2 linked regions of the Arabidopsis thaliana genome follow. The protein of the gene in region 2 interacts with the protein of the main gene of each other region in a biochemical or structural test. Each region holds a gene or a part of one and is shown on either strand. Other genes may lie near its edges.

Evidence for each region.
Region 1: the proteins of MIPS1 (region 2) and ATXR6 form a complex in vitro, tested with the Arabidopsis thaliana proteins (one study listed by BioGRID).

What each region holds. Positions count from the first base shown.
Region 1 is NC_003076.8:8,288,502-8,304,556, reverse strand, and holds ATXR6 (TRITHORAX-RELATED PROTEIN 6), read left to right. Parts: upstream 1-7,397; 5' UTR 7,398-7,559; coding exon 7,560-7,818; intron 7,819-8,039; coding exon 8,040-8,123; intron 8,124-8,192; coding exon 8,193-8,422; intron 8,423-8,567; coding exon 8,568-8,668; intron 8,669-8,782; coding exon 8,783-8,998; intron 8,999-9,152; coding exon 9,153-9,312; 3' UTR 9,313-9,447; downstream 9,448-16,055. Other genes in the region: AT5G24350 (neuroblastoma-amplified sequence protein), read right to left, coding at 1-71, 301-1,267, 1,517-1,725, 1,920-2,118, 2,483-2,656, 2,806-2,857, 2,934-3,020; AT5G24340 (3'-5' exonuclease domain-containing protein), read right to left, coding at 4,709-5,005, 5,334-5,469, 5,577-5,653, 5,822-6,361, 6,447-6,578, 6,861-7,229. UniProt on the Arabidopsis thaliana protein: Histone methyltransferase that specifically monomethylates 'Lys-27' of histone H3 (H3K27me1). Has higher activity on nucleosomes containing H3.1 than H3.3. Involved in the formation of constitutive heterochromatin and the silencing of heterochromatic elements.
Region 2 is NC_003075.7:18,461,179-18,478,054, reverse strand, and holds MIPS1 (myo-inositol-1-phosphate synthase 1), read left to right. Parts: upstream 1-6,006; 5' UTR 6,007-6,161; coding exon 6,162-6,352; intron 6,353-6,433; coding exon 6,434-6,502; intron 6,503-6,585; coding exon 6,586-6,721; intron 6,722-6,817; coding exon 6,818-7,065; intron 7,066-7,153; coding exon 7,154-7,380; intron 7,381-7,462; coding exon 7,463-7,578; intron 7,579-7,673; coding exon 7,674-7,850; intron 7,851-7,938; coding exon 7,939-8,127; intron 8,128-8,213; coding exon 8,214-8,396; 3' UTR 8,397-8,800; downstream 8,801-16,876. Other genes in the region: AT4G39820 (Tetratricopeptide repeat (TPR)-like superfamily protein), read left to right, coding at 74-1,357; AT4G39810 (Polynucleotidyl transferase, ribonuclease H-like superfamily protein), read left to right, coding at 2,320-2,757, 2,839-2,885, 2,968-3,031, 3,136-3,261, 3,355-3,447; AT4G39795 (hypothetical protein (DUF581)), read right to left, coding at 10,730-10,829, 11,154-11,434; AT4G39790 (bZIP transcription factor, putative (DUF630 and DUF632)), read left to right, coding at 13,471-14,344, 14,422-14,502, 14,574-14,794, 14,870-15,093, 15,166-15,739. UniProt on the Arabidopsis thaliana protein: Key enzyme in myo-inositol biosynthesis pathway that catalyzes the conversion of glucose 6-phosphate to 1-myo-inositol 1-phosphate in a NAD-dependent manner. Catalyzes the majority of myo-inositol synthesis required for plant growth and development.

The sequences.
Region 1 (16,055 bases), on a different chromosome or scaffold from region 2:
AAAATTCTGAAATGCAGAACCCATATGCAAAGAGCTTGGTGATATCAGATGAAACTTGCCTGAGTGGGTATCTAAGGGTGGCAAAAGAGGGTTCTAACTTCTAAGTTTTCAAGTTGCAATCAAACCCACAAAACCACTTTAAACTCTAGAATCGACAAATTCTAACCAAATTCTAAATGACACTCATCCTGTGTTAGATAACCATAGAATCTCCTGGATATGCAAGACTAGTACTATATGGCATACCAGGTTTCCTATCTGCAGAAAGGAAGAGAAGATAGCAAGAGTAAAGATATATACCTGCCCATGCTTATCCCCAAATAGGTGTCAAGCCTTTCACTAAACTGTAATAGACGAAGCCTAGCCAAACGAAATTCCCAAAGTTGTTGGGATTCTTGATCTTCAGATTTAGCAAATACATAGTGATTGGTTAGATAAAGTCCATGCGCAAGTAAGGCCTTCATGGAATCTTCTGTTGGCCCAATTCTATCTAAGCATTCGGAGAGCACAAAAGCTTTATCTTTTATCTTTGATAGAATCGTGCTCACATCACTGACTCCTTTTTCTGACTTCAACCATCTTGACTTGAAAACTTCATCTCTGTCCAAGCCATGACTATCAGAGAAATCTAACGCTTCTTGATATTGGCATTTCTCAACTAAGATTTTATACATTTCAGGAATTGTTTTCTCAGTAAATGATATTAGCCTCCATAACATACTATGCTCACTAGTATGATGAAATTCACTTGCGTCCCTGTCAACATTGGCCAGAGCTGATTTTGCTTCCTGTGTTGAACTTTCTAAAAGAAAAATGTGTCCTTCATATTTCTGAACTCTTTCCACGACAGGCATAGAATAAATGGTAGCATCCTCTTGAACTATAACACACCTACTGATGTCAAATATACTAATGTTACCGCTCCTTTTCAAAATTGCAAGGGCGTGATCAGACCACCAAGTAAAATCTACGACATTTCTTAAACTTTCTTTCCAACTTTGTAGCGACTTATCTGGCTTCAGTGAATCAGAACTGTCTTCAGAAGGACAGCACGAAAGTGTCAATCTTGCTTTATCTAACTGGAAAATATGCACGCACCCATTGCTATCAAGACTTGCAACATGTGACCCTTGAGGGGAGATTAAAGTCTTTGGATATGCCAACTGATCATCTTTGTTCTCACAATACACGCCATCAAACTTTGTGGTGGACAACAATTCCAGACCTAAATTCTGACACTTACGCCAAAGCGAGATACACGATGAACCTGAAAGTAAGTAAATTAAAACATTAATTATCGCAGAATCATGAACCTAACATCTCTGTTCATCGGAAATATTTCAACAACCACATTTTTCATTCAACTATCACAAACACTGATAAAGTATAGGTAGCATTCTCATATAATAGTACGCAGCTATGGTTTGCCAAATTGAATGATTTCAAGCAAGTGTAGCTTTTTAATTACTCCTAATTCCAAACTTTCCTCAACTAAAATAAGTTGTATAAAACTTACCAGAACTCCCTGACGATGATATGCCTGCAACACTACCAACAATGAGAAGAAAAGAAAGATCTGGATGGTAATCAAAGCAGAAAACGTGGTTGGGGAATTGCTTTGAGACACTATTTGAAGCATGCTTGGAAAAGGCAGAAGCACTTGGCTCCCTACTGATCTCGACATGATGAATACGTCCATCTGACGTAAGTATACTGAACGAACACCTGCAGGCAAATTATCATTAGCACAGACCACCAGTCAAAATTTCATATCAGCCGTAGACCTTAAGCAAACAAGTATACTGTAATGGTCAAGGACACATTAGGATCCCAGAGTACTCCTTTAGTCTGTTTTTTTTTTTGAACAAAGTACTCTGTAAGTCTTAATCAATAAGAAATATGAACAGAAGGAAACGTACAAGCATGATGGTTGCAAATCAGAGTCGTCCTCCATTAATCCTAATACTGGTGCAGAAACCTTCAAGTTTCTTTTTGTGACCTGACTTATTTCTTCGCCATTAGCTCTGATGAAAAAGAGGGTCTCACTATCATCCACAAGACCAAGAACATCATGTTTTTCGGACCATACTCCAGAAGTAAATGAACCTGATATGCTGGCTGATGCAGAATACAGAAGTTAGAGGACCATAGCATAGACATCAAAGGACCATAAGTTAAGAAACAGAAAGAAGGAAAACGGTATTGTGAGGAGAGCATATTTTTTTAATGAACAGAATAAATGACTGGTACAGTCTAAGGTTTCACAAAACGGTGATTCCACATACTAAACTTAGAGAGAAAAAGAAGCAAATGCAAGTTTTATAGGCGTTTGTTATCAGAGTAAATCAAGTAGATAGTTTTTGACAAGATAAATGCAATATTCTACAAATTCGTTTATTGAGTGTGCTATGGCAATGACCCCGAAAAACATAATCAGGCAAACATTTGTGAAAGCAAGGGAAGATATGCCAGAATTTCTTACATGTAAAATTGCCACAAGGTTTCCTGTAATCATCATCCTTTCGCAAGATAGTAACGTGATTTCCAGAAGTGACAGCCACAAGTTCTCCTCTTGGTGAAATAAATAACGACACCGGCTTATTAGTTTTTTTCGGATTCCAGTATTCACTCCACTTTTCCTTGAGTTGACTAACACCTTAATACCATAAGAGCACAGAGATGAAGAACCAATGAGCTATACTGCTAATTTAATGAAAAGAGATGTACACAAACATGATTCCTACAAGCTCATAAAACCAAAGATTCAAAAATCACAGATCTCTGAGTTAACCATCTGCGACTGACCTTTGATGGAAACAAGTGACCGAAGTCCTCCTTTCGAATTAGTTCCATCTGCCTAAACTTGGACAGCGGATCAAAGCGTAAGATATAAGTAAAACACTAAATTGTATAAGCAATGATGAATCTTGTACCTGAGGAAGAGGAGGATATCTAGGAACATAAGGCAATGAAGCATGATGACGTATCTCATACAAAACTTTTCTTCCAGGACTTTCCATGATCAATCGAGATCGATCCTCACAGCAGTTTCTAGGAGAAGGAGATCTAATTAGCAGGAGAGAGAGAGAGAGAGAATCAATATAATTTTCTTCACACCCTAACCCCAAAACATCAGCACTCTCGTCGATTTAACCATAAAGTTTGAATTAAACCCTTGACTAATTACTTAATGAATTAGTGCATGGAGATGAATTGGAAGGTGTGAGACAAGATTTGATGACATACCTAAGCACGATTTGGTAATTACGCTCAGAGAGATCGGCGGCGAATTGAGAAGAGAGAACGCAGAAATTAATGGTGTGGCGAAGATCCGGCGGTACGACCTCCTATGGTGGTGACTGTAGAGACTGTGATGAACAAATTTCACGAGGAAGGAGACGAAGACACTATACGACCGGTGAATGTGAACTTCGCCGACGAGCAGAGAAAGTGATGACGACTCCGTAAAAAAAGTTATACATACCTTCTGAAATCAATCGGTTCGGTTCAATTTAGCCAAGAACCGTCCGGTTCAACCATGAAATTAATGTTCTCTTGTCTTATTTTCTTTATACGGCAGATAGGCAATCCAACCGGTCGGTCCAAATTTAAGAGACAACACCCTATGAAACTATTAATTCCGATGTGAATGTGCCCGTCGAATATCTGACTCACCGGATTTTCTAATAAGTCTAAAACATATTTGAAGTGAGCAAAGAAGAGTGAACTAAATACTTATTTGATCTACATAGTTTCGTGTTGGGGCAATTGATCTCTTGTTTAGGTCTACAAGACAACTCTTCCTCAAGTAGGAACACTGATGCTCAAGAAACGCTTTCCAATTATACCGGTTAATTCATCTGTCGCAAAGATATCATTTTCGAGTTCATCACCGTATTTGCTAGTGAAAGAAAAAAAATGGTTGAACAAGAATTCAATGGAGAAAATTAGGAAGAGAGGTAATGTTGATTTGATGAGGTTAAATTTTTTGCCTAACTAATGAACTAGACCAATCCAATCCACAATACCTAAATTTGGTATATCATCATATTTAAAATGCATGAATCTACGGCTAGAAAAGCCATCATCTCAAGAAAGCATATTGAAAATAATATTCCACTTTGAAAATTATGCAAGAATTTAACTGGTAAATAGAAAATACTACAAGTCTATTCTTCTCATAAGATAGTAATGTGTTCAACTTTGTAAAACAAACTAAAACATTTGTACACGGTTAATAACCTCTGGAACACATGTGTGCAAACGACACAAGTTACAAACACATCTTGTTTGCTTAGAGACGTTTGATATAAAATAAAAACATTTGAGGAACTGAGGTAACGAGAGATTGAACACTTCACCAAAATTGTAAAAACCCAAAAAAAAAAAAAAAAAGTGAATCACTCACTCAACTTGCATACTTCCATGAACTTCTGGACTGCGTTATGATACTGAGTTCCCTGAAACCACATAACAAACATTAAATATGTCGGACACTGACTATTAGAGACAGAACAGATCAGAGCTATATAGGAAGTTATGAATCTTGTGGAGATGATTTCTGCTCTAAGACATGAACACATGAAGATGTTTTAAAGAAATCAAGATTCAATTCACCAACTAAGACTTCATACAAATATTAATTGGATCACTGATTTGATAAATATCGTTAGGCAACTAAAATTTGACTGTTCAATCAGCAAAACAACTAACATAGATGGACCAGATGATTTTTTGACACAAGGTATACTCGTTCAAGAACTATAATGCACAACGGCAAAAGATGGGGTAGGTGACTTACCTCCCAGTATAGTTGATGGCAGTTCATGCACTGCCAAAACTCTAAATTTTTGTTAAATAAGCAGTTGGGTATTCTTTGGAAACCCTTTGCTGCTTCAATAGCTTCTTCAATGCTTAGAGGTTTCTGAATAAATTTCCCATTGCACTTCGTACATCTGGACATCAGCTGATTTCCGCTGATCTTTAGCTGGAAAGTCTCTATCACCTGCGAAGCTTATTTGTTTCAGTAATTCACAAAAAATCCGTAATCATTCTACTGAATGTAAGAAAAGTGGTTGCACAGTGAGTGGACGAGGTTATTTTGGCTCGGTGAATCCAAGCATGCCATAATTACAGGTAGTGTAGAAAATGTTCCACCCAGAAAGTAAGGTTAAAAATAAATTTGTTAACTAGTGTCTTGAGAGATCCTATTCTTTAAAGCAAAATTTCCAGGGTATGTGTCCTTTTTGATTAATAAATCTAGTAAACCAAATCATGCCACATCACAGATCTTGCATAACAGCTTATACGTTGAAAATTAACTTTGTTTGTACCTCAAGTAGCTGCTCATTTTTAAGAAGACTCTTTACTCGATATATTTGATGCTTTGCCAAATCCTGGTGTCTCAACAATTTTGTATCTCTTGTTAATAGAACTCTGTTCTCTTTGAATGCTTGATCAAGCAACTCCCTGGCATTTGTGTCAACATCACAATTAGAAAATCAATCCTATACAGATATTGTGATCAAAACCCCATGTCACAGAAAAACTTTAATAGCAGCTTTAGGATAAAGTACCTTGAATCCGGCTTCTTTGAGTGTGGGATTGCAGCATCAATCCCCACACAACGTAGATGTTTCGCCAAACCTTCAACCTATAAAGTAGTTTTACAAGAAACTGATTATGATACCACATGGATTCTACTGAAAATGGTTAGATTCAAAAACAAAGATACTAAATAGGTGAAATCAAATTCTTGTCCTCTAATTAAATAAAACCAAGAAACAAAAGAGCAACAGAAAACAGAAATTGATTCAAATACCATCACATCCAATAGAAATTTAGGGCAGCCATCACCGCCTAAAGATGAGTCCCATGGCGGTGGACCTTGCCAGTCCGCAGAACAGACCAACTGCTTATTTGTGTTCATAGTGCTTGAGGCGACACGTCTTCTTGTTTTCTTCTTAAGTTTCTTTGGTAGAAGATCAGACTCCTTCAACAGGATCCGTTCTCCAAACTTCCTGACAATCTTCAACAAATTCTCATCCATTGGCATCGTGTTTAGTGTCGTTTTTCTTGGAACCACTCCATTGGCTATGTTTTGACCATTTTCCGACATTGATCTGATTACATCTGTAGCCTTGCAAAGTTTGACTGTGACAATCTTACTGCTATAGTCCGATTCAGTCAGAATTTCTTGTAAGCCAACATTTATCACTCTAAGATCTTGCACTGTGATTCCTTCAACAAGATGCGCCTCAAATACATCGAATATCTGGAGCAGGCAGTGAGCATCTGTGGCAGCGTATAGTTTCTGTTCTTCTGTAAGAGGACGATATGACCAATCACTACATTGAAGTTCCTAAAGAATAAAAACCTGTTAAGAAAAGCCTTATTAACAGTACGTTTCACGAAAAGTCAAATTCTTGCAGGAATCATTGACAAACCTTTGAGAGAGAGATGTCCAGCATTTCCTTACATATAGCAGCCAAGCTCTTGATATCCTTTGGCGCCTTTCTCCCAAACCGCTTATGTTGCAGATAATTGTATATGCTTGTAATATCCAAGTATTGTTTCACCTATTCACATCAACAATCACAAACATAGAGTTTTAAAGCAACATAACCTAAAAAGGCAAATAAAAGAAAAACACAATTCAACAATCTACTTTCAACAGAAGTCAATAAACACACAAATCAATACTTACCTATCTATAAACACCACACGTGATCCAAACACAAGAACTTTAAGTACAAGAGAATATAACAGAGCTAAAGGTTAAAACTTTGATAAGAATTCGACTACAATTAGCTTAAACTAACACTACGAAGCAAAGTTCAAGACTTTCAAAAGCAAATCACCTCTTGGAATCCACCTTCACATCCATGTTGAGTAAATGTCGAAGACAAGTAAACCAAATCCTGTTTAAACCGAAACCCTAGTTTCAGAACATCCGGCGACACGAACATATCATTCAACAGCTCCCAAACCGATGGAAGATGAATCGAACTCAAATCAATGAGGAAGACATCGGAGACATCCGTGGCGTGACTGAGTCGGCATGCGACTTGGAGGAGAGTGACGGTCGGAAACGACGACGTATTGGAGTGTTGTGGCTTCCATTCGGCGTCTAAGGCGATGATCGTAGAACGAGTGAAAGACCATTTCAGGTGAGTGAACTCGGACGAGTCGGTGGATGAAACTAGATAGATCTTTAGATTGGTCTCCATCGTTCAAAGAGCAAAATCAATTTAGTTGAAAGTTACATTGAAGGAGAGTCTTATGTCGGTTTTGGTTTGTCCGGTGGGATAATCAAATTGAACCGAACCGAACAACCAAAATATATGAACCGATCTAATCCTAATTTCTCAAAATCGGTTAGATAAAACCAAAATAAACCAGTCTGCAAATCGGGAAACCGTAACAGTGGCGCCAAATTAAAATTCCCCGGGAAAATCCGGTGAATCCAGAGCGCGAACTCTTCTACTCAACCTCGGCTAGATCTCACATTTATAATCTCTCACTCTCTCTCTTTCTCTGGTAAATCAATAAGTGTAAGAATGGTGGCTGTGAGGCGAAGGAGAACACAAGCGTCAAACCCTAGATCCGAACCACCGCAACACATGTCGGATCATGATTCCGATTCCGATTGGGATACAGTCTGCGAAGAATGCAGTTCCGGTAAACAACCAGCAAAGCTGCTTCTTTGCGACAAATGCGATAAAGGGTTTCATCTTTTCTGTCTCAGACCGATCCTCGTTTCAGTTCCCAAAGGCTCTTGGTTCTGCCCTTCTTGTTCCAAACATCAGATCCCTAAATGTAAGCTTTTTCACTATACCCACATGACTCTAATTTCAAAGCTTCCTTCTTTTGATTAGGATATGTTTATTGTTGAGCTTTAGATTTTAGGATTCTTCTGGGTTTCTTGATCTCTGTCTTTGATTTGATTTTGCGAATTTGATTCAGATTTAACACTACTAGATCAGGTTTTGGATTACACTGTTGCTGAATTACTAATGAAAAGTTTTGTAAATCTGCAGCTTTCCCTCTTATTCAGACTAAAATTATAGATTTCTTCCGGATTAAGCGGTCTCCAGATTCATCTCAAATCTCAAGTTCTTCAGGTATGTAATTTTGCAGATTAGAAATCTAAATCCCTAGAAATATTAATCTGAATAGTGAAATGTTTGCAGATAGTATTGGGAAGAAACGGAAAAAGACTAGCTTGGTGATGTCAAAGAAGAAGAGAAGGCTTCTTCCATACAATCCTAGCAATGATCCTCAAAGGAGGCTAGAGCAAATGGCGTCTCTGGCCACTGCGTTGAGAGCTTCCAACACCAAGTTCAGCAATGAGCTTACTTATGTATCTGGAAAGGCTCCAAGATCTGCAAACCAAGCTGCTTTTGAGAAAGGAGGCATGCAGGTATCTATCTTAAGTTGATATGTATTGCTCTTGTTCTTCAGTCACATCTATATGATTGGTTTGGTGATTCTTAGGTTTCTTGAAAGCATTCATTGTTGGGTTAAGTATCAACAGAAAAGTTGATTTTGTATTTAATTTCATACAGGTTCTATCTAAAGAAGGCGTAGAGACCTTAGCCTTGTGCAAGAAAATGATGGACCTCGGTGAATGCCCGCCACTTATGGTCGTCTTCGATCCTTATGAAGGGTACTTAACATTCTTATTAGCTTCTCTTTTGACCTTTATAACCAAGAAGAGAGTAGGAAAATGCATTTATCAATGTATAATTATATTGAAGTCTAATTTTTTCTATCTGAACAGGTTCACAGTAGAGGCGGACAGGTTTATAAAAGACTGGACAATTATCACAGAGTATGTTGGAGATGTTGATTATCTGAGCAATAGAGAAGATGACTATGATGGAGACAGTATGATGACTCTACTTCATGCCTCTGATCCTTCGCAATGTCTCGTAATTTGCCCTGACAGACGCAGTAACATCGCCCGGTTCATCAGTGGCATCAACAATCACTCACCGTGAGTTTCTCTTCTCTTCTATTTGGTTCCTTAAAGTCGACTCTCTGGTCACAACACCTGAGCTCCATGTTTTGGTCCTGCTTCTGAATTAGTTGGAACCATTCTAGTATTGCTTGTCCTCATTGTGTATTTGTTGACATTTTGTGAATTGCAGAGAAGGGAGGAAGAAGCAGAACCTGAAGTGTGTGAGGTTCAACATCAACGGAGAAGCTAGGGTTCTTCTCGTAGCTAATAGAGACATATCGAAAGGGGAAAGATTGTATTATGATTACAACGGATATGAACATGAGTATCCAACTGAACATTTTGTATAACCCTGTGAATTTCGTAAGAAAGGTCAACCTATTAAAAAGGTTGCTTGTTCATCAAGAAACAACCTAAAAGTGTTTTTTGTCCTTCCTAATGCTTTAACTGGGCTTTTAGACCATGAACCAAAGCCTTACTTCAAGTTGGATCAAAATGTGAAGCCTTGTCGGAATAATTGATGTTCTATTTGTAAAAAATACACTAGAAATGGGAATTGAATTGAAGAAAATAAAGATTGTTGGTAAGGAAAAGAGAGAGTAGGAATAATGAATGAAATAGAATGGTCCAAAGAGCCTAAAGACTAAAGGAGTCTGACAGTACCTTCAAGCGACTATGAGAGTTTGCATCAAAAAAACCATTCCTTTGTGATTCCTTCAGATCACTGTGGGACATAAACTTCCTTTTGGATCCCACACTTACCATTTTTCATCTTTTTTTGCATTCTCCAACAAATTTATTCAATTTTAATGCATCGTACATACCTAAGAGACAATTTGATAAATATCTCGACATTGATTTATTGAACATTTTATCTTTCATCTTTTAGCTCTCCATCAGGATATTATAAATTTGGCTACGGGAGCGGACATATCATATTAAAATTGATTACTAAGTATCAATTTGACGTAGGAAGCATAGATAAACCTTGGATCTCTTAACATACGCCTCAAAACAAGTTAATATAGGACCAAACTTTGGTCAGTAGCATTATGATCTTAAACTGTCAGGATGGACCTTAGATACTATAGAATCTCAATAAAATTATTTCAAAAATGACTTTCTTATTTAGTTCATTTAGTGATTAAATATATAGATGGATTCGGGTAATCTCACGGGTTTTAAACTCATTTTAACATATATAAACATAGTACTAGCCCCCAACGATATATAGTCGAAACACATATCTATCCACCAAACTCTTTTTGATAGGTCGATCAATATCAATGATTTGTCTACACTCTACACCAAACAACTGATAGTACATATAGTCGTAAATCATATAACCATTTCGAATCTAACTTACAAGGTTGGTGTCTTTCATATGTTATTTGTTTTGGTGAGATTCAATTAAGTTCCACAGAAATTGGTAATGATTAGTAGGGGGTACTGTTGATTATACGTAAAAGAAAGGGTGTAATTTCTAATTACTTAAGAGTTTGGTGCCTTTAGCAGTAACAATAGAAGATGTGAGAAAGATGGAAAAAGAAAAACCATACAAAGGACACCATCACAAAATTTACAAATCCTAATTTTATACAAAATAAAACATACTCAATACTAATTCTTTTTGCTTAACATCAAACGGATTACTTTGTTTCTTTTGGAAAAGTTTAGTTTCTTCTCAATGCAATTAAAATTATTTATGTTTATAATTTTATGGAGCCCATAGAAAAGGAGAAAGAAAAAGGGTAAATAGTTGAAGGCTTATTATCATTAATCAAGTAAGTAAATAATAATATCTAAAAGGCTTGTTCCTGAATTTTACTGGATAAATCGTTATCACGTGATTTACGCCACTCTTTCTCTAATCTACGTGATGTCATGAGTAACTAAATACTATCATTTCATTGTGTTTTTTCTTGTTTACTAATTGTGATTTAGTTTCTTTGGCTAATTTCAATTTCTTTTCGGTTAGTAGAGCATTTGTCTTTCAATCTTTTCTGACTTTTGGCCTTTTCTTTTCACAGAAATTTATTTACATTGAAATACGTATACTTTACATTATGGAACCTATATTTTGTTTTAAAATAAGTATCATTTTATATTTTTAATGCAATTTTGATGTAAAAAAAGTTACAGTTTTTATCTCCACTAATTTAATGCATTAATTAATTATTAAAATTATGTTGATGGAAGAAAAATAGAAAATTTATCTATTTTAAAAATGTGTGCCAAAATCTTAAACAACACTTATTTATAAATGGATAGAGTTTTTTTTTTTACGTCAAAACAATTATATTAATCAATTAGGGTCATTACAAAAATATCGATCAAGCCAAATAGGTAAAAAACCAGAACCAGAATAAAAAGAAGAATAGGTACAACCATATTTCGCTAAGACATGAGCTAATTTGTTTCCCTTTCTCCTAATAAAACCAAACTGAATGCTTGCAAATTTATTTGACCAAAAACGAATGTCCTCCAGGTGATTTGCTAAGGAACTGTGAGACGAAGTCCCATTAATTAAGTTAATTAGCGTCTGACAATCGCCTTCTATAAGTACTTGTGTGTATCCTCGAATCCAGGTTTGTTGTAAAGCCGCCAAAAGAGCTTTGGTTTCTGCCTCAAGCGGATTATTCGTGTGAGCCAACTTTATTGAACCCCATGAGATTGGTGTCCCGTAATGATTTCTGATGATCCAACCTCCTGTAGCTTCCAACTTCTGTAAATCGAAACCAACATCAAAATTACACTTTACATATGTGACTGGTGGATTTCTCCATAAATGGATAGAGTATTAGATACTACTGGCCACTAAATTATATTTGATTTTTAGTAATAATAAGAATTTTGTTTTGTTGTATTTTCTTTTTAATTAGAATATTAATTGCAATAATTTTCTTTCTATATCTAAAATTTGGTCACTAATTATCCTTCATCTTTATAATTTTTCCTACATCTTCTTTTTGTTTGCATCGAACAAATCGAATATTTTGTTCTTTATGATTACTATACAATTGTATACCACAGAAGCGAAGCCAAACGGCCAACTTTAATTTTGGTTTCAAATCGTAAAGTAAATTAAAGCAAAGTATAAATAGAATTTTGTCGTTAAGGACTTAGGTTATCAGACTAACCAACTATTACCGACATCATTATTTTCTCTTGTTCCCTTAACAAAAAGCCAAATATCATTATCACATTGAAAACAATATATATCCGTGCAAATTTGATTATTAAATAATCAATGTCGGGCTGTCTTTTAATTAGGGTTATAATAGCTAATCAGTGTCTCCCCTCTTTGTCCCTACGTTAGGGTTTCTAATTGGGATCATAATCATTTCTTTCTCTTTAGAAAAGAAAAAGTTATGCTACATACGACATCACTTTTCTAAAATGACTTAGTGATCCAAAGTATTGGACAAAAACTTTTAACCTGATGAGCATAAACACATAAAAAAAAAAAAAAATCAATGTCCTAATATTGGACAAACGACTAAATCGAGTAATCCACATTATTGTTTTTGTCAATAATCCTTCTTAAAAGTTTAAATCTCCTAATACATTTTTCTTGTTTAGTAATGTATTTGTCTCTTTATGTTACTTAGTTAGAGACTTATATATTTTTCAAAATCATTTTGTTGGCATTTTGAAGAGTGGTATACATATAATAGTTTGATTTCGTACCAATAATTTAACGAATTAGTCATTTAACTAAGTAACTAATTACGAATAACACGACAAACATATGAAACAACAAGTTTAACTCCATCAAGTCACGTTACTCCAAATAGTTGGGATTGAGTTAAGGACTGAATCTTTGTCGAGTCAATTGTTGAAAAAATAGAGAGAACCAGTTATGTGAAAATATCCAAAGTTCAAGTTTCTCAGGCTCATACCACAAAGGGTGAATTATCATCAATATGCTTTTATTTCAGTGAGACATGTAAAATGGTTAACATATTACTCAATAACTTTATCCTTTTTACTGTTTTTATGAAATTTCATTTTGCTTTTAACTTACTCTCCTTTTGATTCTTTGTGTGTAATTGTCGTTGATTAAGGTTAAATGATGACAATAATGTTGGCACGGGTGAGATCAGGTCCCATTTGGTTACCGACGTTTACTATTTCTCTACTTTTAATTTAATCTTTAAACCCGTTTGATCAAAGAGACTTATTTGAATTGATCTTTGAAACAAATCGCCAACGTTGGTTTAGTAATCATATTTCAAAAAGCATTATAATTGTGTTTGAAATGTAGACATAATAGTTTAATGGATTTCTGCCAAATTGATAGGAAGTTTACTTAGAATAATTTAATAAAATTTGACACAATTGACAGTGGTTTTGACTTTTAAGACTAGAAACAAAAATCTGAGTTAGCCAGATGATTTTCATAGGGAACCACTTTTCATAAAGTATCGGAACATTACTATGATGGGGTCTCTACTATGATTCCATAAATTTAATTTTAATTTGCTTTTTTCCCCCACTAATTAGAGCATAAATGTAACAGCTGACTTTCTGTTATTTTAAAACATTTAATTATACATAACGGTAGGTACCATAGTTAACAAACTTCAGAATTGTTTTTTACTAACCTTTCTATATACTTTTACTATAGATGACTAAAAAATAAGTGATTCTATTATTCTGTCAATATATACAAACTTTTTTTTTTAATATTAGAAATTTAAGTATAAAATGTATATTTAAATTTAAATCTGTATATTATTGAGTTAGTAACAAGAAACTGGACAAAAATAATATTATTTAAATCACATTTGTTTAGGAAGTCTGTCAATTGGGTCTTAACCCAATTGGTTTATGTGATAGTTAGAAATGCAAACTAAGAACAGACAATGTGGTGGTCCTTTAAGAAGAAGTCCACTATAAAGTATATCGGTATGTTTCTATCGAGATTTACCGAATCAATCGACAAAATTTATATATAAAAAATGATATTGTTGCTAACGATCCACTCTCATTTTGTGGCCTAGGAGTCTATTTTTGTTATCGTAATTACCCGAAAAAAATACTAAAGAAACTTCTTAGAAAATAGAAATGAAATTCTGGAGGAGTTGTGTCGGGCTCCAATATATGGAGACAAAAACTAATTTTACTAATATAGTAATATGGACAAAATTTGTGAGCTCATCTTGCATCAAATTAATAATTATATTGGTTATGTTTCGCTCCAAATTCTCATATTTGTCTCTTACCTAATCTGTAAAACACACACACGTAACGCGTAAATAATTAATATCTAAAAATAATCAGTTCAAGTAGTGATATTCAAAGACTTTAGACCAGTAATTATAGTAAGAAAATTTGATTGGTCTTTAAGCTTTCTTTATAAAAATAGCTTATAAAATATACAATTTGCAGACTTATATATATATATATATATATATATTATATAACCATTTAATTTTAAAATCAATAAATTTTAAAACAAATCATCCCACAGTATATTGTGGATTAAAATTTAGTATACAATAAATTGTCTACATAGTAACAAAGCTTATATGTATCTAATTCTAGTAAGCACTTTTGATTAGATTCTTCTTTTGATTAGTTGTTTTTTGTTTTTTGTTTTGTATAAGCTTGGAAAAAACGCATTATAGATAAATCGTATATGCAAGCTTGAAGTACCTAACCCACCATGATTTCATTTTCCTATGAACTTTTCTTATTTGATTTTGGTTTTCAATTATTTAACCATATATGCTATATGCTTGACCGTTCTCAAATTCTCACTAACGTTAACCAATATATTTTTTCTAAACCTAAAAGATGGCTAAATAAAACTTTGGCATCATAAAAATGTCAACTATGAGCATATCTCTCTATTTGAGAGTTTGCTTAATCCAATCTTAAGCTTATAGCTCATGTAAGATGTTACTATCATTTGACAAGTTTGTGCAACATTTGATGAGTATTTTTTTTTTTTGTTTTTTAATATACTTCACATAAATGAATACATTCAGTTGATAATCAGAAAAAGGTTACTAGAATCATTTTAAAGATTACTCTTCTAACTGCCGCACATTTACTTTTGTAATTTGGAAACAACACTAATCATCTGTCTACTACCGCTAGATAAGCAAGTATTTTCTTGTTTCCCCAAATGGTTTGTATCCTTAGACATAAATGGTCTTTTTGAGAGTTTACTAACATGTGGGCAGTTTTTTGGGATTTCTTGAAAAGTGATTGCAAAATGAAATCATCCATGTGACATGTGAGCAATGAAGATGAGAAAGAGAGTTGGTTAGAGATTAATTATTTATCAATTCTCTTTGTGGAGCTTGCTAACGTATTGAATAAAGCCTAATACTGTATACAAACCAAACTGTAGAAATGGACTTTGTAATTGTGGTTAGTCAAAGTTCTCTTTTACTATACTTCTTTGAAATTTATGCAGTGTCTCTTTATCTCTATACATAGATATATTGATTATAACGAAAAATTTAAATTCTATAAATCAAACAATCATTTTTCTATTTATTATGATGCGTAAGTTGATTTGGTCACCAAAATCATGTTTTGAGTTATTTTATAGCATATTAGAATGACAGATCTTAGGTAAGAGCATGTATTACAAATTTAAATTAATTTGACCTATCTAACACCTCTGAAAGTCAATTTTATAAGCAAAATATTCTATTGTTCTTTATCGAATGTTAAGCAAACATTCTACAAAACTCTTACAAAATCAGTTTGATAGTAGAGCGAGTAATCATCTAATAATCAATAATAAAAACTCAAAAAAATACTATGACACATCTTAAAATTTATTTTACTAATAGCAATTCAAGCTGTTTAAATAATTATATTGGTTTAACGAATTTAAACAAATTTAATAGTATAACATTCTAGTGTTAATCTAAGGAAGTACTTGCATAACCATAATTCTTTTCTCTTTAAATTAATATTCAGAAGATGTGAATTATGGTGTTTTTTATTAGGATACAAATAAACAAACTCATTATAGTATTTGATAATTCAACAGTCTCTCTCTCGTGTGCTAGATTTGTTGTTTCTTGTTTGACTAGATTAGTAATACAATACCTTTAAATATAGTATT
Region 2 (16,876 bases):
ATAATCATATCAAATGTTTTTTTTTAATAAAAAATAATCTAAATTTTTATGCCAAAAAGAAGAATTTAGCGTAATGGTATCTATTGGAAAGACGACCCAAATCCAAAGACCAAACCAGGTTACTTCCACAATGTTCACGGAGTCATCTCCAGCAATGGATCCGGATTTACCCGAATCCGAAACCCGACCCGAATTCAATCCCTCCTCCACTGATTCCACCGCCATGGCAGAGTCAACCGATGCAGGGGAACCGACGGCATTCGAATTAGCCTCATCCCAAGTCACATCCGTCGCCGATCTACCACCGGAACGATTCAATTCGCTCGACGAATTAACACACGATCTCGGCTCGCTCCACGAGCTTTCGACCCGTGGCTCATGGCAAGCGATCCTCGAGAAGATATCTCAAGCCAGAGCTCTCTTCCTCCTCACAAAGCCTCACGAGCATCTCACTTATCTCACTTACCAAGTTATGGCTCTCGCGAAGCTTCGTCGCTCCGATGAAGCTTCTCATGAGCTTAATTCCTTGCACGATTTCGACGGGACGCATTACAGGTACGAATCGTTCCCTGAGATTTACCCTAATCGGAGAGGATCTATGGTTCCTTTCTCTTTACGATGGCTCTACGCTTTGATCCCGACTAAGCTTGGTAATCGTCAGGAAGGGTTAGATCGTTTATATGTTTTGCTTGACTTTGTTCGAGATCGAATCAGAGAGAAAGAATCTCAGAGTTTAGAGAGTTCTGTGGAATTGTGGAAGAAAAGAGAGACATTTGTGATGAATTGCTTGCTAGGGTTTCATTTAGGTCACAAGGAATTTGGGGTGTCTTTGGATTTGATGAAGGAATTGATCAATCGTGATCCGTTAGACCCGGTTTTGATTTCGAAACTAGGGTCTGTTCAGATGCAGTTTGGTGATGTAGAAGGAGCTAAAACTACGTTTGATAGAGTTGAGAAGATGTTGAATGAAGGAAAGAGCAATGGTTTATTGAACGAGATACAGTTCAACAATCTTGTTGGTAGGAATAAGGCTTTGGTTTATGTTGTGGCAAAGGACTATGTTTCTGCTGTGAGAGAGTATGACAAATGCATTGAAAGGGATAACTCTGATATTATCGCTGTCAACAATAAGGCTCTTTGTTTGATGTACTTGAGAGATCTATCGGATGCGATTAAGGTGATGGAAAGTGCATTGGAGAGAGTGCCAACCGCGGCTTTGAACGAGAGCTTGGTGGTGAATTTGTGTAGTATGTATGAGTTGGCTTATGTTAATCATACTGATGTTAAGCGGACGTTAAACAATTGGATTGCACGTGTTGCTCCTGATGACTTTGATTCATCTTGTACCAGAGTTTGAGGTATTGTCTCTGTTCTTGTTTCATTCTTGAATTTTTCCCTTTTTTAGGTTTTGGCATGTCTAAGAACTGATTGGTGATGTTATGATGACTTCGATAAATTGTGAAGTCTTAAGAATATGAAACAATCTGGTTAGGTAGATAAGAGAGATGATATTCTCTAGCGCCCTAAACTTCTTGTTCTCTGTTTTGGTTTCATATAATTTCCATTGGAGGTATGCAAATTGATCATCTAGCATTCAAAATTGCAGGTTTTCATTCCAAACAAAGGTAATTAGTCAAAGAGTTTATGTCTTCAATGATGAAACAAATCTTGGTGGGTTTGGCCTCAGCTGGAGACTCTGTTGTTGCAATTACCGGCTTCAAATTCGTTGTAGTTTTCTGTTGTGTAAGCTAGCAAATGGTTTGTTGCCCCCAAACACTTGGTAACTTCCTGCATTCGTTTTCTCATATTCATCTTCTTATAACGTTTTTTTGCATTTGCCGTTAACCACTAATGAAGAATGTGTGTTCTTGCAACTCTTCCTATGCACAGAGATTTTGGGTAAATCAAATATTTAAAGCCATGTATTTTGAGTTGAATATTCCCGTTGAGAGGATCATATAAGGATCAATAATTTGGGATATTACCAGTTTTTGAGAGAAATTTTCCCTTTCAGCTTTCAGATTCCTTGTATATCTTTATGACAATATCAAAGGAATCAATTCTCGTAGAACATGAATCTACCAACGAATTCTTTCATATAACAACCCTTTTTTATTGGTTTGGAAAAAGCAAAGTAAAGATTCTTACTTTACCCTACAGAGCAAAATTTTCTCCGCGAAGCTAAATAATCCCCACAGTAACCCTCCAACACAAATCTACGCTTAACTTTTATCACAAGAAAACGCAAACCCCAAATCCACAATATATACACATACCTACTCACAGGATTAACAAACCGAACATAAACCAAAATCTGATATGGCGGTCCAAACATTTCCCAACGAAATCGTCTTCTTCGATCTAGAAACAAACGTACCAAACAAAGCAGGGCAACATTTTCACATACTAGAGTTTGGGGCGATCATCGTATGTCCAAAAAAACTCGAGGAGCTAGAGAGCTTCACAACGCTTATACAACCTAAAGACTTGTCGGTGGTCTCAATAAGGTCGTCTAGGTCAGATGGGATCACCAGGGCTAAGGTTACGAACGCACCAAGTTTTGAAGACGTGGCTGAGAAAATCCATGGTTTGTTGAACGGTAGGATTTGGGCAGGTCATAACATTAGAAGATTTGATTGCGTTAGGATCAAAGAAGCTTTCGCTGAGATCGGTAAAGCTGCGCCTGAACCCTCAGGGATCATTGATTCTTTGGGGTTATTAAGTGACAAGTTTGGCAAAAGAGCTGGTAACATGAAGGTACCATTATCCAAGATTCTTTGTAAGCATTAGAAATCTTAGGAATTTATATATTGAAGGTCATTGTGCACTATTTTGTAGATGGCAAGTTTGGCTGCCTATTTTGGTCTTGGAGTTCAAAAGCACAGGTACCTAATCATATATGTTTGTATCTATTACTGTTACGTTTTCCTTAAGGTGAAATAACGCACATATGTCATATAATTGCAGGAGTCTCGATGATGTTCGAATGAATTTAGAGGTCCTCAAGCATTGTGCAACAGTGCTTTTCTTGGTATGTCGTATACTCATAATTCTTTTTTTTCTTTCAAGATTTTTATTTCAAATATACAAATTAACTCATTTGTATATGTGTTTATATATCACCTAAATATACAGGAATCTACACTTCCCAATCATTTGGAAGGAAAATGGCACACTTCTTCTAAGATTATGACAAGAAGTCGAAGGAATTACCAAATAGCCCAAAGGGCAATGCCTTACTCGAAGGGTAGTCTCGAGAAGGTAATTGTGTTTTTTTCCCCTCTCTTCAAATCATAAAGAATTTAAATTGCCGTTAAATTTTGTCTTTCTTTTAAATGTTTTTGTTTAATACAGATGACACAAAATGTGAAGAATCTGTTAAGCAAAGCTCAAGGCAATCAAACTCTCCAAAGCTTGATCAATCATTCTCATTCTTTGCTTAGATGATTACTGCATCCCTCCTAAATGTTAATTTTTTTATAAATAGTTTGAAGAATGAATTTAATTGTATATAATATTTATACCTTCATTGACTCTATTACCAAATAATTCAATTGATATTGTTTATATTTTGTCACTAACAACTTTTTATCTGATTTTTACCTCAAACTTTTATGAATACATCACATTGGTATTGTTTGTCATCTTTAAATATATTTTCTTTTGTCGTATTATCTACGACTTATTAATATTTCAACGTAATAGTTTTTAATATTTTTGTCGTATTTATTCATTTCTATTTAGTTTTGGATAAGCTCTTGATCTTATTTTATAATTAAATATTTCAACGTAAAAGTTTGTCCAACTTATAATCAGTTGTTTTTAATTTAATTTTGGATAAGTTTCTGATCAAATATTTAATTCTTATTCTGTTTAAATTGGAAACAGTTTATCTGTTATTAATGTGAAACGAAACAATGGATAAACTGTTCCCAATTGACAAAAATAATTGATTACTTTATTAATGTGAAACGAAACAAAGTTTGTCAAAAACAAATATGAAACGAAACAAATAAAATATATCTACGTTATTGGGAAGAAGAAAAAAAAATATCTACATAGTTGCAATTAAATTATATATTTTAATACAACTGTTATAATTAAGACAAAATATATATGTATATATATATATTTACTGCTTAATATGTTTTGTTTGTCGTATTATCTATTATTCGTTTGTGAATTTTATTTTGGATAGTAGTCTTTTCATTTACTTAAAATTAAATAATTCGAAACAAAATAGTTGGACATAATCAAGCGTACGAGAAACTTCCAGCACATCAACATCACCCTTTATACAAAATGATTTTTGAGTGAAAAAAAATGAATGTGAAACAAAGAGAAGTATGTGGCGTGGAGGAACACAGACAAAGAGTTTACAAAGGGAAACAAATTATCAATACACAAACGTACGTATGGCCACAACCATGCCTATCAAACTTTTTCAAAGCCATTCCATTTCCAAGGTGTGTCCAAAAACCATTTTTTTTTTTTTTCATCCTCCATAATTAGTTTTTGGATTCAGTTTTTGAAACTTCTTATGTCGACTAGAGCAAGAGCACTATATTTTTATGTAGTTTTTCAAAAATTAGCATTGCTGCAATGAATAGGTGATACGAGAGCCAAGATCACACGTTTAACCTTTAACTTACAAATCATCATAATTAACAACACAAAGATAAAAAGAGAATGATATAAATTCAACAGATAATAAGAGATCTTTTTTAACATGCCACACCCAAATCTGAATATAATGCAACATCTTTAAAAGAAATTGTATTACAAATCAGTTCATATTGGTCCACTAATGAAATGATTCATTGGAAGACCGATGTCTAGAATAATTTTCAAGGCATGTGCAAAAAGTTGGATTTTCTTTCCATCTAAACCTTTCAAATGACTAATCATTATTGAAATAGAAATGAAAGAATCCCGGTTACAAAAGGAAATCAAATTACATATTTTAGGCATCATATAAACTAGTGTAACTTGGAAAAGCTATAACAAATAATTTAAATTTTTAACAAATGTTTCAATTTGTGTTAAAATATTCAAATTTGAAAGTAAAATGTAACTGATATTTTCCTTATGACACATTGCTCGACCATAATCAATTAAATAATATATTCAGAATAACGTCTTTCTAAGACATGAAAAACACGTGAAACAGAGCAGTAGAAAAAGTGTGAAGATGTTTTACAGACAATGATAATCAGTGTTCTAGACTAAATCTTTTTGTTTCATATAGATTCATAGTTATCAATGTCTGGTTATGATACATTACTCAAATGTGAAATCACAAGTATGAATTAATATTATATTTAAGGTATTTTAAATTTCTTAGATATGTGTAAAAATATATTTAAAACACAAATCTTTAAAAAAAAAAAAAACATAGGTACCTTGAAATCATCGGCATTTTGACCAATTAATTAGTGCAAGTATCAATTAATAACATAAAAAATCGTAATTAAAAAAAGGTAATTCACGTGTCAAACCCAGTCAACAAGATTCCATAGGACCCACTTTTAAACGGCGACAAAAAAGTCTTTAAACGGTCGCACTTTTGTTCCAAACGACCGTTAACACCGATATTAACTATCTCACGCGCCAAACGCTACACGTGATTCCTACGGCGACCAATTGACAGCTAAACGTGGTTCGTGTTGTGCACTCTCTTTCCTTCGTAACTGACAAAACACTATCTTTTTAGTAACTGTAACGGAACAAAAGGTCCCATGTTGACGAAACACTGTCGTTTTCCACCAAATTAACGGAACTAACTAACGTTCCCCACAAAAATGTGGGACCCATGAAACAAAAAAACCAAACCAGACTTTGCTATCATCATAACAAAGCGACGCCACGTGTATGGACCAGATATCTGACGTGTCAATTACTATTTTTAATTTTCCGCTCCTCCCTCACGTGTGAGACCCCACACGTGTGGCTCACTATGAACCAGAAGCATCACTAGCTCACATGCATTGGACAAATAGGGACCATCAACCAGTGAAGTGACGCCACGGTGTCTCTATCTCCCTTGCTGTCTCGTCTATATAAACTTGCACGTCTCCGCTGATTAGAAGCACAAAACTCACACCCCAAAACCGATCCAAATTCCGAGAAAGACAACCAAATTTTCCTTTTCCTCTGCAAAAATGTTTATTGAGAGCTTCAAAGTTGAGAGCCCGAACGTGAAGTACACAGAGAATGAGATTCACTCTGTGTACGATTACGAGACGACGGAGGTTGTTCATGAGAAGACCGTCAATGGCACTTACCAATGGATTGTGAAGCCAAAGACTGTCAAATACGATTTCAAAACCGATATTCGTGTCCCCAAATTAGGGTAAAAACCACTCTTTTCCAAAGTTTCATAATTCCTCGATTTCTCCGTCGTTGATGAATCAATTTTGATTTTGTCGTAAAGGGTTATGCTTGTGGGTTTGGGAGGAAACAATGGATCAACTCTCACCGCTGGTGTGATTGCGAACAAAGAGTGAGTCTTTTTGATCAAGTCCTTGATATTAAAATTTGATAATTTTGTCTTTTTGTAATCGGAAAATTGGATAAATAAAACAGAGGAATCTCGTGGGCAACGAAGGACAAAGTGCAACAAGCGAATTACTTCGGGTCACTAACTCAAGCTTCATCGATTCGTGTCGGATCTTTTAACGGTGAAGAGATCTATGCTCCTTTCAAGAGTCTCCTTCCAATGGTTGGTGATTAGCTAGCTTTTAAACAAATTTTTGAGACAGGTTTTCTTCTTAAAGTGTGTTTTAATTTTGGGATCGTTGTGTGGAAATAAAAACAGGTGAATCCGGATGATGTTGTGTTTGGAGGATGGGATATAAGTGACATGAACTTAGCAGATGCCATGGCTAGAGCCAGGGTTCTTGATATCGACTTGCAGAAACAGCTCAGGCCTTACATGGAGAACATTGTGCCACTCCCTGGGATCTTCGATCCTGATTTCATAGCTGCTAATCAAGGGTCACGTGCTAACCACGTGATCAAAGGTACCAAGAAGGAACAAGTCGACCACATCATCAAGGACATGAGGTTACTCTCTGTTCTAGTGATTATTCTTATTGGTTGAATCGAATCTCGTCTGATTATTGATGTGATCGAGTGTGATGTTGAATCTTAGGGAGTTTAAGGAGAAGAATAAGGTGGATAAGGTTGTGGTTCTCTGGACGGCTAACACAGAGCGTTATAGCAATGTGGTCGTTGGGATGAACGATACAATGGAGAATCTCATGGAGTCTGTGGATAGGGATGAGGCTGAGATCTCTCCTTCAACACTTTATGCGATTGCTTGTGTTCTTGAGGGAATCCCGTTCATCAATGGAAGCCCTCAAAACACCTTTGTTCCAGGTTTCATGTAGTTGAGTTTTAATCACTCATTGATCAATCAATATTGGAAATCATGACTGATTTTCTTGGGGGTTTGTTGTAGGTCTAATTGATATGGCGATCAGGAACAATGTTTTGATCGGTGGAGATGATTTCAAGAGTGGTCAAACCAAGATGAAATCTGTCTTGGTTGATTTCCTAGTTGGCGCAGGAATCAAGGTTTGTTTAACTTGCGTATCAAGTTACTCTTTCTTGTTACTGAAAATATTTGTCACAAGACTTTGGTTTCATTGATTGTGTGTTTTTGTTTATAGCCTACTTCAATTGTGAGCTACAATCACTTGGGAAACAACGATGGAATGAATCTCTCAGCTCCACAGACTTTCAGATCTAAGGAGATCTCCAAAAGCAATGTCGTGGACGATATGGTTGCTAGCAATGGTATCCTCTTTGAGCCTGGGGAACACCCGGACCATGTTGTTGTCATCAAGGTAAATAGAGAACCGGACAGACACTCAAAACCTGTTTCTGTTGGCAATCTGAGATCCCATTGATCCAATTTGTGTGTTTGTTTTGTAGTATGTACCGTATGTTGCGGATAGTAAGCGAGCCATGGACGAGTACACATCAGAGATATTCATGGGAGGGAAGAACACAATTGTGATGCACAATACCTGCGAGGACTCTCTCTTAGCTGCTCCAATCATCTTGGATCTTGTTCTCCTCGCGGAGCTCAGCACCAGGATCCAGTTCAAATCCGAGGGAGAGGTTCGTCAGTTCACAGTACATGTTATTTTGGGTTCTCTGTTTTCACTGAACCGCGGTTTTGATGTTTTGAAACATCTTTTTGGCAGGGAAAGTTTCACTCTTTCCATCCTGTGGCCACCATACTCAGCTACCTCACCAAGGCACCACTTGTACCGCCGGGAACTCCGGTGATTAACGCACTGTCGAAGCAGCGGGCTATGCTGGAGAATATTATGAGGGCGTGCGTTGGACTGGCTCCGGAGAACAACATGATCATGGAATTCAAGTGAACATGAAGAAGCATGAATCTAAGACCTTTAATTAGCTCATAATTTAAGAGTCTTTAATTTGTGTCGTTGTTTGGTTTTTATATAATGTTTTTAAATTATGAAAGCTTGTGTTTCTGAGAGACCAAAGAGCTTTTAGTTTGGTCTCTGTAGGGTGTGAAGTAACTTGTATTTGTAGTAATCCGGATGGGTTGGTATATTTTGCAAGTGTGTCTAGGTTGGACCATAATTTCAATATCTCTTATGATTTTGTTTCATATGTTTGTAAAACAGCTTATCTTTTGAGATATATAATCATGGTTTTGGTTCAGCAATTGATCTACAAGTGTATGGACAGCTTTTGTCACCAAATTTGCTCATACCACAATTAGTTAGACGTTGTGGTGTAAATTGTTGTAGGTTTTGACTGAAAACTTGCTCATTCAAATTTTTGATTTGTGTTCCCTGCTATTTTTTTATCACAGTTGAGAAATTTCAATCTAGTTTAGTAGAAGATGGCAAGCAAAAAAATTATAACGTAATGGTCGTTTTCATAACAATTCTATTTTAAATATAATATAATTTGGAGGAATAAATAAAATGTGTATGGACCGATTCTTCATTCAAAAACCATCGAAAAGAAGTTTAAAATATTACCATGGCATCATCAATGACCTCAAATGAGTTTATTCATAAAAATATGAGATTGATGGTCCAAATAATTCAAATTAATTATATATGTGGGAGGATTAATTTAATTAAAGATACCAAATGAATCTGCTTATTTCCCTTGAATTATATATTTATTGATAATTAAGTAATCAATAATTAGTAGTGAAGACAAAATATGATGACTCCGGAAACTCCAACAACTAAGCCTCGAAGTTTGGAGTTCAGAAAACGAGTGAAGAAAAAAACAAATTATATATAAATAATCCATAGACTAATTATAAACCTAATCCTATCTATAAGCTACTGATAACTATCCATTTCCATAAACCATTAATATACAAATCTTCAATTATTGAGCAACGAGACATATGTACTTTAATTTAAGTATCGTTATAGAAGCATTTTTGTGTTCTTAAAAATTGTATTAAAATTTTATAATCAAAATAAATTTTTAATGTAGTAAATAAAAATAATTTTATAAAAATACTTAATTTGTAAAACCATAACGGTCCATGCATATAGTTTTTATTAAAAAAAAAATCGTGTGAAAAATGTCAAAACACATTTATACTGAAGCAAAAAACTGATGTGATTTCAAATGATAGAGAACAAGAGTTCATACTTTCCAAGTACTAATAGATAGCGTTTAGAAATTGTTAGTTCAGATGAGTGTTACCATGGACAAATTCTTATACACTAAAACAAAATTATGATGGAAGAAAGATGGATAAAACATATCTAATCCGAAAAACAAAGAAAGAAATGTAACATCTATAAACTTTTAACCTTTTCACAGCATGTAGAAAACTATTTTACAGCATGTATACGTCTTTTACAAGACTAAAGCTTTAAATATATGTATAAATGAAATATTTCAAAAAAAAAAAAATCGTAATAAGTATCAACTTTGATACGACAGGTTAAAACCATACACACACCATTTCAGTATGTATGAATATTTTCTTATTACATCTTTTTGATTAGTAAAATAACAAATGGTTATTAGGTCATCACTAAGCTTTGATCGGTATGACGAGTGTTCGCATTAATTTACTCTACACCTCTTCATCCCATTACTAATCGCCGGACGCTTTCGTCGTCACGAGACAGTGACCTCCATTTTTAAATCCTTCATTTAACGCTTTTTTCTAAATTTCCACCAATGATTTTCTGGCCAAAAATATTATATCTGTTACTATTCATGTACTACTAGTTATAAGATTATGCAAAATGATGTGACTTTAAATCAAAATAAATACTTTTATTAATTATTATCTTAATTACCGTGAGTTGCATATGGTGTTGGGATCTATTTGCTAACAAAGTCATACTATTAAAACGAGATTCATGGTGTGCTTACTTCAACCTTCACTAGCTCTTAAAGTAACGTATCACGTATGCATAAATTACTCGTTCTTTAACTTCTTTTAGCTAAATGTTTTAATATTACAAAAAAAAAAGTTGTAATTAAAAAGCATATCTTCAAACTAAATAAACCCAGTTTATAAAAGAGACAAGGAAGTGTGAAACTAAAATAATAGGCAGGACATGAAAGATAGATTCATTTCATTTTTTTCTGAGGATTAATTTTACATGATGACACTAATTAATGATTAACAACAACAATCTCTAGTTAAAACACACACAAACTTAAGAGTAATAGTAAATTTGAGCCATGCGTATTTTTATTTTGAAGGTGATAGTACGACGCGGTTTCTTGTTTTCCCCTCGTCGTGCTCCATTTGCTGTTCTCTGCATTCTATGCTACAAAACGCTGCGTCCCCTCTACAATTTATTCACGTTACAAAGAAATATATCAATACTACTTTGTGATACATTAGAAAACGAGGAATAAATCATTGAATCCCTACCATTGGAAAGATATGGTGTTAAAAATAAATTTCATAACTTGGTTGTAGCTTAGTTCCCTTGATTATATTTATAAAAAAAAAACGCTTTCAATTTTGAATGTATTATATAAAACAAATAACTTGTTCAAATTTAAAAAGAAAAATTATTTTAAACTATTATAAATTGAGATCTTAAAACTGAAGACTTGTAAAAATGAAAAATAATTAAGAAAAGAGTAGTTAGTATATGTAAACATACTTGTACATGTAAATATCACGACCCGGAGCAAGACCGCGTTTGCAAAAGCCACAGTTTACAAGAAAAGACGACGGTGAGGATCTCCCACCGTATTTTCTCTCGTTCCTCTGGTGATTTACCGGCGACAAGAACCGCTGGGCGTAATTTTCTCCGCCGTCAACCACCGTCATAGACACGTCAGAGTCTTGGCCGGCGGTCTGATCACCATCAACTTCGATAGTGATCCTCGTTATGCTTGCTGTTCTCTGCATTTGAGGCCGTGGTCGATTCCCTAACAACATATTATTGTTTCTATAAAGAAAAAGAAAAACTTTTTTATTTTTCTCTATAAAATTTAGATTGTTGCTTGGAGAGGGGAATTGTGTGTTACGATGCCAATCAGTTTAAATATAGACGCAATCATATGGTGTATTGATTATTTAATTCGTGCCTACGTATTTACTTGTAATGCTTAAATTTTATATGATATGATTAAAGATACAATTATTATTCGTCAGGTCTTTATAGGTAGGCCAATAATTTCAGATATTTGGTCTGTGGACACCAAACATCCCTCCGTAGCTATATTTTATTTTCGACGAGAAGTGATTTATTAATTTTTTTAAATATGGATTTTACCATTTCTATTCATTTTATAAAATGATATCTCCTAGATATGGTACAAGGAGTAAGGAATTTTTTATATATGATCTTCAAAAGAATGCCTAAACCTTTGTATTTGAGTGTTCATATGATTCAATTCATAAAAATCATGTAGAGCAACATTTCCCAAAAATAATAGTGTCGACATTATAATGAAAAAGTAACATACTGGGGGGTGTGGGTGGGTCTTTAAGAGGCATTCGTACGAAAAGTCAAGGCTTGCAAGATTGCTTCAATTACTAAAAATGTATCGTAGGGATTATAACAGTATCGTACTCATTAAGTGTCCTTTAGACCTTTACTGTTACTGCCACTATTTTCAGTTATAGTAGTACTTGGTAGAACTTTGAGACAGTTATTGTCATGGTAGGATTTGGGCCTAGGAAAAGGGAATAGTGTCATTCACTGTTTCAAAGTTTTAAACTTTTGATAGACACTATTATACTATATTACTCTCCATACCATCTTACAATATGCAACAGCCCATATCTCACTTTTAAGAAATGTTAACCTCCATTCTTTCTTGTCCCTTGTCACATTCTAAATGAAAGTTATAAAGTCGAGATATTTTAATTTTAATATGTAGAGAGGCTAAATAAAGCCCACGTTTCAAGGAGTCGTTAGAGAGACCCTCGAAACTAAACAAGAGTGATTTGCTCAAACCCAAAGACAATTACACGATTCTCCATACAAAAGAGTTCCCTCCCTTAGGTGGCCCAATTACGTTAAAGTAGCTTAACCTAAACTTAAACCGAATTATTTTTAATAAGCGTTTCTTTTTGCCGTAGACTTTTTTTAATTTTTTTGAACCTAAATTATAAAATTTTGAATCCAATCTTTAGTAGAGATGACTATGGAAGATTTAATAATGTAAATCGAAAATCACAAAACTAAATAAAAGCAGGAATATATACGTTAAGCTTTTGACTTGGTTTTCCCTCCCTCTCTTTCCCCAGCTCAATCGGTCCATTCACAACCATAACCGAAAAAAAAAGAGTAACTAGGTTTCACATAACTCTCGTAGAATCGTACTGTAATCCAATTACCGAAGTTAATAAATGAGAAGAAAACAAAAATATTCAAAGTGTGTAGCTTTCATGTTCATATTCAATAAAGAGTAAAGACCATAACTACAGATTTTGTAGCATCTAGAGAGAGAGAATCTGAAATTGTTGCTGCTAGGATTTTCTCACTGCTTTAACTTTTTATTTTCTAGCTCAGCTTTTGAAGTAAATGATCTGTTTTGGAATGAACTAAAATCTCTGCACTTTTTTTTCCTTTACTAATGTTTTATCTTCTTCTCGTAAAACGATGCAACCAAGACAAAACTTCTCCACACCCTCTCTCTCTCTCTCTCTCTCTCAGACCATTTTGTTCAAGATTTGTCTGATCAAAGCTCCTTTTTCAGGTTTCTCTCATTGAATAAGTATTTTGGATTCTTCCTTATATATAAATTCCCCAACTACTCTCCTTTCCGCATGGTGATAGCTACTTCTCACTCTGTTCTTCTTAATTCTCACAAACGCCATTAAAGGAAAACAAAACAAAACCCCAAAGACTTGTCATTTTCTTTTTTTTCGAAATGAGTTCTTTAGTTTGTTCTGTTTTGTAACCACCGTGAGAGATTTCAGGGTAGAACAAATCCAAAGTTTCGATTTTTATTAAGTTTTTCTCAATGGGTCATTCGATATTGGAGAAAATGGGATGTTCAAACTCGAAAGCATCGATGAATAAGAAGAACGAGCCGCTTCATCTATGCAAAGAAAGGAAGAGATTTGTCAAACAAGCTATGGATTCCAGATGTGCTTTAGCCGCTGCACACGTGTCTTACATCCGTTCACTCCGTAACATCGGAGCTTGTCTTCGTCAATACGCGGAGGCGGAGACTGCTCATGAATCATCTCCGTCGTTAACCGCCACTGAGCCTGAGAAATCTCCTTCTCATAACTCCTCTTACCCTGACGATTCGGTTGACTCGCCACTGAGTCATAACTCGAATCCAAACCCTAACCCTAAACCCCTTTTCAATCTAAGTTACATGAAGACGGAGACGGCTAGTTCTACTGTGACTTTCACTATTAACCCTCTGAGCGACGGTGATGACGATCTGGAAGTGACAATGCCGGCGTTTTCTCCTCCTCCTCCGCCGCGTCCTCGCCGGCCAGAGACGTCTTCTTGGGACTATTTCGACACTTGTGACGATTTTGATAGCTTTAGATTTGTAGGGCTAAGTGAACAAACCGAGATTGATAGTGAATGTGATGCAGCAGTTATAGGATTAGAGAAGATTACTAGTCAAGGGAATGTAGCAAAATCTGGTTCAGAGACATTGCAAGACTCGAGTTTTAAAACAAAGCAGAGGAAACAGAGTTGTGAAGATAATGATGAAAGAGAAGATCCATCGGAGTTTATCACACATAGAGCCAAAGACTTTGTGTCGAGTATGAAAGATATAGAACATAAGTTCTTTAGAGCTTCTGAATCTGGAAGAGAAGTTTCAAGAATGCTTGAAGTTAACAAAATCAGAGTCGGATTCGCCGATATGACAGGTATGAGTTCTGTTTTCATTGTGTAAATGGCTGTTGAAACCTGTTGTTGATTCGTGAGTGTTTGTTTTGTTAACCAGGAAAGGGAAATTCAATAGCGTTTCTTGCAGCTTTGAAGCGAGCTTGTTGTAGAGGGAAAAGTTATTCACCAGTTTCTCAAGGTAAAGATTTATCATTTACCTGTGTCTTTGCTATTTTTGGTTTTAGTGTTCTGAGTTAAACTTTAATGTAGAGCCATTGAGTCATCAAGTTACTAAAGTCATTGTGTGGAAGAGAACATCGTCGTCAAGATCCTCCACTTCTAGAAATCCGTTGATCCAGACATCAAAAGAAGATCACGATGATGAAAGTGGAAGTGATTTCATCGAAGAGTTTTGTATGATCTCAGGAAGTCACTCTTCTTCGCTTGATCGGTTATACGCTTGGGAGAGAAAACTCTATGATGAAGTCAAGGTAAAAAAATCATGACTCTATGGCTGTGTTGGTGTTGTGCTTCCTCACATCTCATTTGTTTTTCTTTTTATGCAGGCGAGTGAGATGATTAGGAAAGAGTATGATCGAAAATGCGAGCAGCTAAGGAACCAATTCGCAAAGGATCACAGTGCTAAATCGATGGATAAAACAAGAGCAGCTGCTAAAGATCTTCATTCAAGAATCAGAGTCGCGATTCAATCTGTTGAATCGATTTCAAAGCGGATTGAGAGAATCAGAGACGATGAGCTCCACCCACAGCTCTTAGAGTTTCTTCAAGGGTATATAGTAACCAAATGTCTTATTAACTTTTGGATATAGACTCGTTGGTTGATCCTTACTTTTCTCTTTAGGTTGATAAGAATGTGGAAAGCGATGCTTGAATGTCATCATACACAGTACATTACCATTTCATTGGCTTACCATTGTCGACATTCCTCCAAAACAGCACACGAAAGTGTCCTTAAGAGGCGGATTTTGGCGGAGCTTCTAGAAGAAACAGAGTGTTTTGGTCTAAGCTTTGTAGATTTGGTTCACAGTATGGCTTCTTATGTGGAAGCTCTGAATGGTTGGCTTCACAACTGTGTCTTGCTCCCTCAAGAACGTTCTACAAGAAACCGAAGACCATGGTCCCCACGTCGTGTCCTGGCTCCACCGATATTCGTGCTGTGTCGGGACTGGTCTGCAGGGATCAAAACACTGCCGTCTGATGAACTTAGCGGGTCAATCAAGGGGTTTTCCTTGGATATGGAGATGTTGGGGGAAGAAAAAGGCGGTTCACTGTTGGTTTCGGATTTGTCGAGTGTGCATTCGAGTTTGGCGAAGCTTCTAGAGAGATTAAAAAAGTTTTCGGAAGCTTCTTTAAAAATGTATGAAGATGTAAAGGTGAAAAGTGAAGCAGCTAGAGTTGCTTACACTAATAAATAATTCTAACTGCGATAGGTACTGAAACTTTGAAGGAGGGGTATTAATGTAATTACGTTGAACAAAATTATGTACACCTATGGCATTTACTGTCTTAAAATTTAATTTATATTATGTGTGTTTCTTCGCAATTTCTGTACAGGTGATTTAATATAAGTATTACACATTTCCATCCATTTGGAATACATTGGGCTTACGACAGGACCGATAAGTTAACCATAGATTCCCGCCGCCATAACACTTAAAAGCCCAATATGTTTAGACACTAATTAGTTTGAGTTATTGAAATTTTTTGGGTTTAGCTACAGTTTTTGATCAGATAATATCTTGGTCTGAAAAGAATGTAGTCACAAATTTCAAATTTGTATCACGGTCTGGGAATATAGCTTTTATTTTGATCTTATCTTGACCTCCAATTGTGGAGGAAGAGTTGACATTTGTTAAGTCAACAACTTCGTTGAATTGAAAATAATATCCAAAGCTATATAATAATTACTCAATGTGTCGTGTATGTTAAGTGACCACTAAATCACCATGATCTTGTCGATATTTCAATAGCAAATTTAATTTATTCCACTTTGTGGGTTGACTTTGAGATTAACTATTTTTATTGAGAAATTGAGGGTGTCCTGTGATACAAATAATGATTATATATGTGATAATGATAATCAGCTACATTTTTTTAACGAGAAGATAATTCACATACAACGAACTACGGTTTAAATCGTTAAATATTTTGTATTTACAAAATCTATATCTCAAAATGTTAGAAACTAAATCTTGTAAACTTTAAGAAAAAGTATATAAACTGTTTTCTATGTTCATCAATTTTCAAAATCAAACAAAAAGCATTGCTGTTTTATAGTTTGGAGCTCATCTTAATTCTTACATAACTATTTCTATTATATAAATTTCATAATCATTCTATTTTGGCTATTCTATACGTCTACGATATATTTGTGCTCTAAGAAGAATTAAGAACTACATTTTTTTTTAATAAGAACTACATTGGGTGGGTGTAAAAGCATAATCAACATGTGAAAACTTAGTTTATAAATGAAAATTATTATTATTCTTTGTGATTTTCGGGTCATCCATAGATTTACGATCAACAATTAAAAGAAAATTTAGAAAGTTAAG